2 linked regions of the Canis lupus familiaris genome follow. The protein of the gene in region 1 interacts with the protein of each later gene in a pairwise test. Links are inferred from orthologs where the notes say so. Each region holds a gene or a part of one and is shown on either strand. Other genes may lie near its edges.

Region 1 (3,632 bases):
ACATCAAAGGGGAGCAGCTGGAGAAAAAAAAAATTGCCATTTGTGAATACGTATATCCTTGACAGATGAAATTCTGAATTACTCATACCTACCTGTCTGTCTCTCTAGCCCTGTCCCTTGCCCTCCCCTGACACATACACAAGCTTCAATAACCAATAGTTTTTCCAGGCTTTTCTGGAGATCTGAAAAGAAAATGCCAAGAATGCTTGCTTGCATTTCATTCTCCTTATTCTCAATCAGTGCTTCAGCGACTGAGCTTGGTTTCCTAAGGCCATAGCACATGGTAAACTACAAACTAAAGAGGCAGAAAGAGTGGGTGAGGGTTGGCAAGTGGCTCAAATATCAATGCTACTGTTGGAAGCCAGCACAATGTAGTAAAGGAAAAGCAACTGCTAACAAACTGACATTGGAAGGTGACAGAAAAATTGAAGCGCACATAGTATGGCAGAGTGCTCATGATGGTGACCTTGAGTCACTGATAAAAGGTTACATCATGTATCAGCGGGGGCAGGTAAATCATTCAGGAAAAATGTCCACAGAAAATACAATCAAGATTTCTGGGAGTGAGGGATCCCTGGGTGGCGCAGCGGTTTGGCGCCTGCCTTTGGCCCAGGGCACGATCCTGGAGACCCGGGATCAAATCCCACGTCGGGCTCCCAGTGCATGGAGCCTGCTTCTCCCTCTGCCTATGTCTCTGCCTCTCTCTCTCTCTCTCTCTGTATGACTATCATAAATAAATAAAAATTAAAAAAAAAAAAAAAAGATTTCTGGGAGTGGAAGTCACTTATGTAGAATAAACAATCTTACTCTTCTAACCTGTCACACAGTCAAGCCCTCCCTTGTCAAAATTAAAACCTGTGTTTGTTGCTAGTGCCCTTATACTGGTCATTGCTTCCTTATTAGAATGTGTAGATGAGGGGATCCCTGGGTGGCTCAGCAATTTAGTGCCTGCTTTCGGCCCAGGGCATGATCCTGGAGTCCCAGGATCCAGTCCCACATCGGGCCCCCTGCGTGGAGCCTGCTTCTCCCTCTGCCTGAGTCTCTGCCTCTCTCTCATTCTGTGTCTCTCATGAATAAATAAATAAAATCTTAAAAAAAAAAATAGAATGTGTAGATGATTAAAACTGAAAACACTGATGCTGATTCTGAAGTTTTAATTGCACCTGTATTCACAAATTCGGTACAATCTATGCTTACAAAGTCCTCCTTAATAAATCAACACTGGAATTTTAGTATCATTTGTAAAACATAATTTGTTTAGTTAGCCTTAGAAATAATGCCGTAGAGGGGTGCCTGGCTGGCTGAGTCAGTAGAGTAGGTGACTCTTGATCTTAGGGTTGAGTTCAAGCCCTACACTGGGCATGGAACCTACTTTACAAAAAAAATTTTAAAAAGGAATGTTGTAGAGAAAATGTCAATTTATCAAAAAACAAGGGCAAACACATATAAAACATGACAGAACTGATTGCAGGTTACAAACAACCACTCTTAATTCGGGTGCCTCACCTTTCTGCAATAGCTTTAGCCAAAAGAGCTTTCTTACGTTTATTTTTCTCTTCCATTAGCCGTTGCTCTTGTTGGAGGACTTCCCAACGAGATTTTTCTTGCCTAGGGCAAAAAAAAAAGGAAAAATGAGTTTCTGAAGCCCTATCCTACACCTTACCAGTCTCAGTTCCCTATGTATAAAATGTAATCAACCAGATTATGTATATTTTCCTTCAAAAACCCTCTTAAAAGGAACCCATCTGCAGCTCATTATTTTGTTCTAATAGGAACAAAGATTATGATTTAAAATAAAGAAGGCTTACATAAACTGGCCCTTTGAAATCCATTATATGTGTATAATCTAGGAAGCCACAAACTGGAAGCCAGAGTACTATGGCATTTCTTAGGAGTACAAAGAAAGTTGTATAAGTTAATTATGTATTATATGCAAAATGGAGATCAAAATAAATTGGTATGTAGCTAATGTCACATTCTATCTTTTAGAGTTTTCTATAATGAAAGTCTCTATCACCTTACACCCTTAGGACAACAAACAATGCTTATTTTATTTTTTCAATTCTCTCAGTTCTCAAACATTATGAAACAGAGTGGAACACTATGAACTAAGATTTGAATGCTGGGCTACTGAGAAACTTCAAAGATCTGAAAACAGTCTTCCGTCTGTCCAATTCTGGAAGAGGTATATTGAAAATTTTCCATAAAATCAACAACTTGATGTCAACTCAACATAATGACAAAGCTATTTATTCCTATTATTGTCAATTCTTATGGCCATTGTCTCAAAATCCTCTAGTCCCAGACTCAGTAACCACTTCTAAATTTATCGTTTTCTTTTCATTCCTACAGCCTCCACTCTGGTGCTAGCACTGGTTCACTTTCATTTTAACTATTGCAGGCATCTTCTCACCAGATGCCAGAGTTCCAGCTCAGTGAGCACCCTCTTCCAAATGCGCCACAACACTGACACCTGCATTTTCTCTAAATGTTGTTTTGATCAGGGCATCTCTCCCTCAGAGGCCTTGGTGATAACCAACTACACTGAACTCAATAGATAGGAACCCTCAACTTCCATATCCTTCTTCGCTTCCCTCATTCTCCACTATTCTCTGGCCTCGCTTTTGGATCTTCCAGAGAAGTGAGATGCCATCTCTGAGCACTCTTCAGGATAGAGCTTTCCCTTTCCCTTTCTTATAGACTCAGAATTCCTCTTTGTCAACAATAGTTCCTGAGATTGCATGTCTTCTATGAAAATTCTCCCGAGTACCTAAAAAAATTTATTTTCCTAACAACATTCAATCTAAATTGTCCAGCTTAATTTAAATCCACCCTCCCCAACTTGTGTCAGGCTGGTGCTGGCAAACTACACTTAAAAACATTTAAGTATATGCACTCATTCAATGCTGATCTCATAATTCATATGGCTTTATTTCTCTTGTAAAAATGATTTCTTGGTTGTGAACTCAGAGCACAGAATCTGGATCAGAGAAATCATACGATACTTCGAAAGACTCAGAAAATGGAAAACAGAAACAAATGGCATCCTGATCAATCAGGAGGAAACAAATAAGAATGGATATTAAAACCAAGCTATAGAATTCACAAGTGATAGAATGGCAATTTCCAAAAGAATGTTTCTAAACTAAATTCTGGAGGTAGTTTCTGACATAAGCACATTAAATAAAGAATAAAAAGAAATCTAATGATGCAGGTGAATTGTTTTATTACTCCTCTCAATTTCAACTTTCCTTTGAGCATCCCTTCATATTGTATCTCTTCACAAGTACTTTTTTCTGGGCCAATGTATATGGAGTCTGAAAAGTGAAGACTGGTTTGATTTGGGGATGAGGTGAGGACTGTGCATAAGAACTGTTTCTAGTGAGGGTAAAGGGCAGAGACTTTGGATCCGGAAAGACTTGTAAGTGAACCCCAACTCTTCTACTTATTGGCTATGTATTTGATTTGGGAATAAAGTATCTTTTCTGAGTCCAAGATTTCATCTATAAAGTGAAAATCATGAACAGGTACTGGAAACTGCTGTGAAAACTAAGTGACATAACCCGTATAACATGCCAACACCAACTGGCTTACCATACATTTATGGGGTAGCTATTCTTTCAAAGACTATT
Region 2 (4,249 bases), on another chromosome or scaffold:
GCCCCACACATGGCCAGGTCAGAACGGGTATCTGGGGCTGAGCCTTCCTCCTTCATTCCCTACAACCACCTACCGGCCAGCAGAGACTACTATTATCCCCATTATACAGACCGGGAAACTGAAGTCTAAGGAGATTAAGCCAAAGATTCCTTCCTCACATCTTTCCATGTGCTATTCCCCCTGCCTGGAATATTCATTCCCAGTTATCATCCCTATGGCTCCCACCTTCCCACTCTTCAGGTCTCAGCTCAAATGTCAGCCCTGAGAGAGCCCTTCCCTGGGCGCCCTGACCCACTATTTTCCTTCCTGGTACTTACCCCTGTCCTGGGGAGTTCAAATTCCCTTATTTATGTATTTTCTGTCCCTCTCCACCAGCTAGAATCCCCGAGAGGGGGTACCTGGCCCATTTACTCCCTGCTTGATCCTTGAGGGCAGGGATCTGGGTCTGACTCCATCCCCACCCCACCACCCCCTGCCACAGCACATCGCAGCACTGGGCACAGCATATATCAGAGCCAGGGCCACTATGCACAAGTGGTTACTGGAGTGCCAGGGGAGTCCCTAAGTACCTACTATGTGCCAAACACTATGCTGTGCACTTCAGACTCACTGAATCTTCACCGAGCTCCTCTGAAGTAGTAGGTACGATTATTAGTAACAAGTGTCAGACAAGTCACACAGTAAGAGTCAGAACCAGGGTCTAGACCCAGAAAGCCTGGCTCCATAATCCATGGTTGCCTCCCAGGGTCTAGTCATGGGGGAGCCCACAAAGTGGGTAGGGAGGATGGAGTGAAGAACCCAGGACCAAAGCCCAGGATCGGCTGGAGGGCTCACCTGAATCTCTTCCAAAAAGAGGTTGGTCTCCACAAAGCGGTTGTTCATGAAGCCGCCGGGTGCCCGGCAGTTCTGCAGGAAGCGGGCTGGGTTGGGACGCACCTTGGGGTTGGCTCCAACTAGTTCACAGTAATGGGGCACCAGCGATTTGGGGATCTGTGGGAGAAGGGTCAGTGGCAGGGCAGGGCTGGTTGGCTGGCAGAAAGGGGCTGGGGTTGGGTCAGACACTCACCTTCCCAGGGTTGCGCAGGGCAGCCGCCCGAGGTAGGGGCCCATTGAAGACTTCCCAGATGAGGCAGCCCAAGCGCCACATGTCAGCTGACCTGAGGCAGGGATCAGAGCTGCTCCAGGCCCTGCCACCTGCTAGTACAGGCCTCCAACCTGCCTCAGGCACCAGACACTAACTATATGGCAAACCCTGAACTACGTCCCTCAGCTGATCCTCTCATCGGCCCTGAGAAGCAGGGTTCATTAGTCCCATTTGACAGATAAAGAAAGTGAAGCTCAGAGAAGGAAGGACATCCACCCCACATCACACATCTTTCAAACTCAGAACCACCAAAACACACCCAAAGCCTGTGTTTATCCTGCCCTACCTCTTGGAGGACCCTGGTTCCCTCCCCAGCTGGGCAGCAGGGGACAGGGGAGTGCCAACTAGTTGAGGGGTCCTGAGACTACAGGAGCTTCCAGAATAGGGTGGGCTGGGGCATGCTGCCCCCAGTCACCCACCATTTCTCTCTAACTGCTCTGCCACTGCCATCAGCCAACTCCGGGGGGTCATACTGCTCAAGTTCGGGGACCCCCTTCCGGGGGGGTCCCCCACCATTGCCCTGGGCCGAATACATGTAGTCCAGACCCCCCAGCTTCCACTCGCCGGCACGGTCCACGAACACGGCAGCCATGCAGATGTTGTTGTGGATGAGGCTGCAGTCATTTACCAGGAAGCTGAGGGCTTTCTGGGGGCAGAAGGAGCCATCACACTCCAGCAACTGAAGTCCCCCACCCTGCTCTCATCACCACTGCCCCCCACCTCACCACAATCTGGTGTAGGCCCCAGGAGAGCTCCAGCTCCTTCAAGCCACCAGCCTCCGCTCGCTCCTTGAGGTACATTCCCAGTGGGGTCACTGCCTCTGTCACTACATGGAGGCATTTGTCCGTCTGAAAAAGGAGACATGGTGTAAGAGGAAGGGAAGATGAGGGGCATGGGGAGACAGGTGGAGAAGGGGATCAAATTTGCGGGTGCTGAGGCAGGAGGGTGGAAGCGGGAAGGCATGACAGGGAGACTGGAAGAAAGCGAGGGGGCAAAGACGGGGCAGCGCCCTGGGCGGGTACCTCCAGCCCATCGATGTAGGCCAGAATGTTGGGGTGCCGGAGAGTTTTGAGGCGCTTGAAGGCAGCCTTGGCCACCTGGGTCTGCTCATCGGCCCCGGGCTTCACGTCATACACGAAGATGGACACCGGGCTGCCTGTGGCCTGAGGGAGGAGGGCAGAGGAACCTGAGGGATGTGGGCCGGGCCCAGGCGACCACGCCAGCTCCGAGATGGTGCCCAGAGCTGCCAAGCGCGGGGGGAAAGGGCCGCCGCCAGTCTCTCCCCAGGTCAGCCCTCGGGGCCTGAGTCGCGCCACGTGACCCCGGTTCCGTCCGCCTGCCGTCCCTCGGTCCTCCGCCCGCCACGTCGTCACTGACCGTCCGCCTCCCGCGGCCCGTTGCCCCGGAGGCTCCGCAGCCACGTCAGGCGGGGCGCGACGCGGCGGGGCCGGCGGCGCTGACTAGGCGAGGCCGAGGTCGGCCACGGCCTGCAGAGCGGGGCGGTGCTCACCTTCTTGCGGCCGCGGTGCAGGACCCAGGGCCCCGGCGGGCCGCCCTCTGGGGGGTCCGGGCTGAGCTCGAACGGGAAGTCCCGGACCGGGTCCCGGGCAAAGAACCACATTGTCTCCGCCGCCGCCGCAGGCTGGGGCGCCTGTGCTCCGGGTCCTCAGGCCGCCGAGCCGGGGGCGGGGCGAGGGCGGGGCGGGGGCGGGGCCGGGCGGGGGCGGGGCGGGCGGCGCGTTGACCAACTGCAGGCGGCGCGGCGGGGCCTTGCCGGCCAGGTGCCGCCGGTTACCAGGTGCGTAGCTCTAGCGGGCCACCCCAAATCTCTGAGCCTCTATGTCCTTGTATCTAAAATATAGGTGTGGTAGAGTCCACCTCCCCTCACTACCATGGGGATGAGAACTCGAGAAGGGACAGGGGATGGAGAAACCGAGGCGTGGAGGGAGCAGAGATACAGAGACAGATGGAAGAGGAAGTCATAGGCGGACGCGAAGGGGTGAAGTGAGAAGTGGGGTAGACAGAGAACTGGGGAGGACGACTGTCCCCAAGCCAGATGTTCTCTCCCACCAGCCAGTGGGCGGCTCCGGGATCCAGTGAGGCATCGGTATTGGTGGAATGACTGATCAGGGAAGAAGCCCAAAGAGACAGAGGCCCTGAGAAGCAGGGCCAAGGGATGGCAGAGTGAAGCAAAGGCCTAGGGGAGGTCCAGAAACCCTGTGGCAGGGAGGGAAGAAGCAGTAACTCTGGAAAAGAGAAAAGTGGAGGGGGAACGGCCCAGAAAGTCCAGAAGATGCCAGAGGGCCAGGAGGGGCCCCTGCTCTCCTGGGCGCAGCAGACCTGGCTGTCTGGTTTACAAGGCCAGCATCTTTTCCAGGCCCCACACTGCCTGTGCAGGCAGGCATATCCTGTGGCAAAATGGTGTTAGCAGCTCAAATGCCTGGACACTGGGCAGGCAAAGACCCCCCCCTTCAGGGGGGGATCTCAGGGGACCCAGGGTTGGGGATGGTCCTGCAGCCACACCCTACAGGGCATGGGTGAGATCCTAGAACTGATTATGAAATGTTAGTTGGGAGGCCCTCCAGAACAGATTCAAGAGCAAGGATGTCAAAGTCAGGAGAGATGGGTTCAAATTCCTTGCCTAGTGGCTCAGTCGGTTAAGCGTCTGCCCCTGGCTCAGGTCATGATCCCAGAGTCCTGGGATTGAGTGCCACATTGGGATCCCTGCTCAGCAGGGAGTCTGCTTCTCCCTCTGCTTCTCACCCCACTCGTGCTTTCTCTCTCACTCTCAAATAAATAAATAAGTAAAATCTTAAACAAACTCCTGCTCAGCTCCTCTCACTGGCTCCTCTCACCTTATCCTCTGAAAGCCTTGGCTCCCTCGTCTAATAAATCGGAATAAACAGTCCCTGCAAGTCACGTGACAGAACAGCCACTTGGCACAGACTCCTGGTCTCCCTTTCCTTATCCAAGCCCCTGTGACGGATGGTCACACAGAGGGAGGGTTGGACAGGGTGCTGGCTGCTCAGAGCAGAATAGAAATAACCACTAGAGATTTTCCCGTGCAGCTTCTATAGGAAGACAGTGAGGACTGTCTTGTAAATA

Evidence for each region. The genes of interacting proteins can lie anywhere in the genome.
Region 2: the proteins of GORAB (region 1) and SCYL1 interact in a two-hybrid assay, tested with the Homo sapiens proteins (2 studies listed by BioGRID and IntAct). The link is inferred for Canis lupus familiaris from reciprocal best matches to the Homo sapiens genes GORAB and SCYL1.

Annotation. Positions count from the first base shown.
Region 1 is NC_049228.1:28,153,509-28,157,140, forward strand, and holds part of GORAB (RAB6-interacting golgin), read right to left. Parts: intron 1,609-3,632; coding exon 1,507-1,608; intron 1-1,506.
Region 2 is NC_049239.1:52,179,426-52,183,674, forward strand, and holds the start of SCYL1 (N-terminal kinase-like protein), read right to left. Parts: upstream 2,832-4,249; 5' UTR 2,766-2,831; coding exon 2,655-2,765; intron 2,308-2,654; coding exon 2,167-2,307; intron 1,993-2,166; coding exon 1,870-1,992; intron 1,791-1,869; coding exon 1,564-1,790; intron 1,158-1,563; coding exon 1,067-1,157; intron 991-1,066; coding exon 835-990; intron 1-834. UniProt on the Homo sapiens protein: Regulates COPI-mediated retrograde protein traffic at the interface between the Golgi apparatus and the endoplasmic reticulum. Involved in the maintenance of the Golgi apparatus morphology.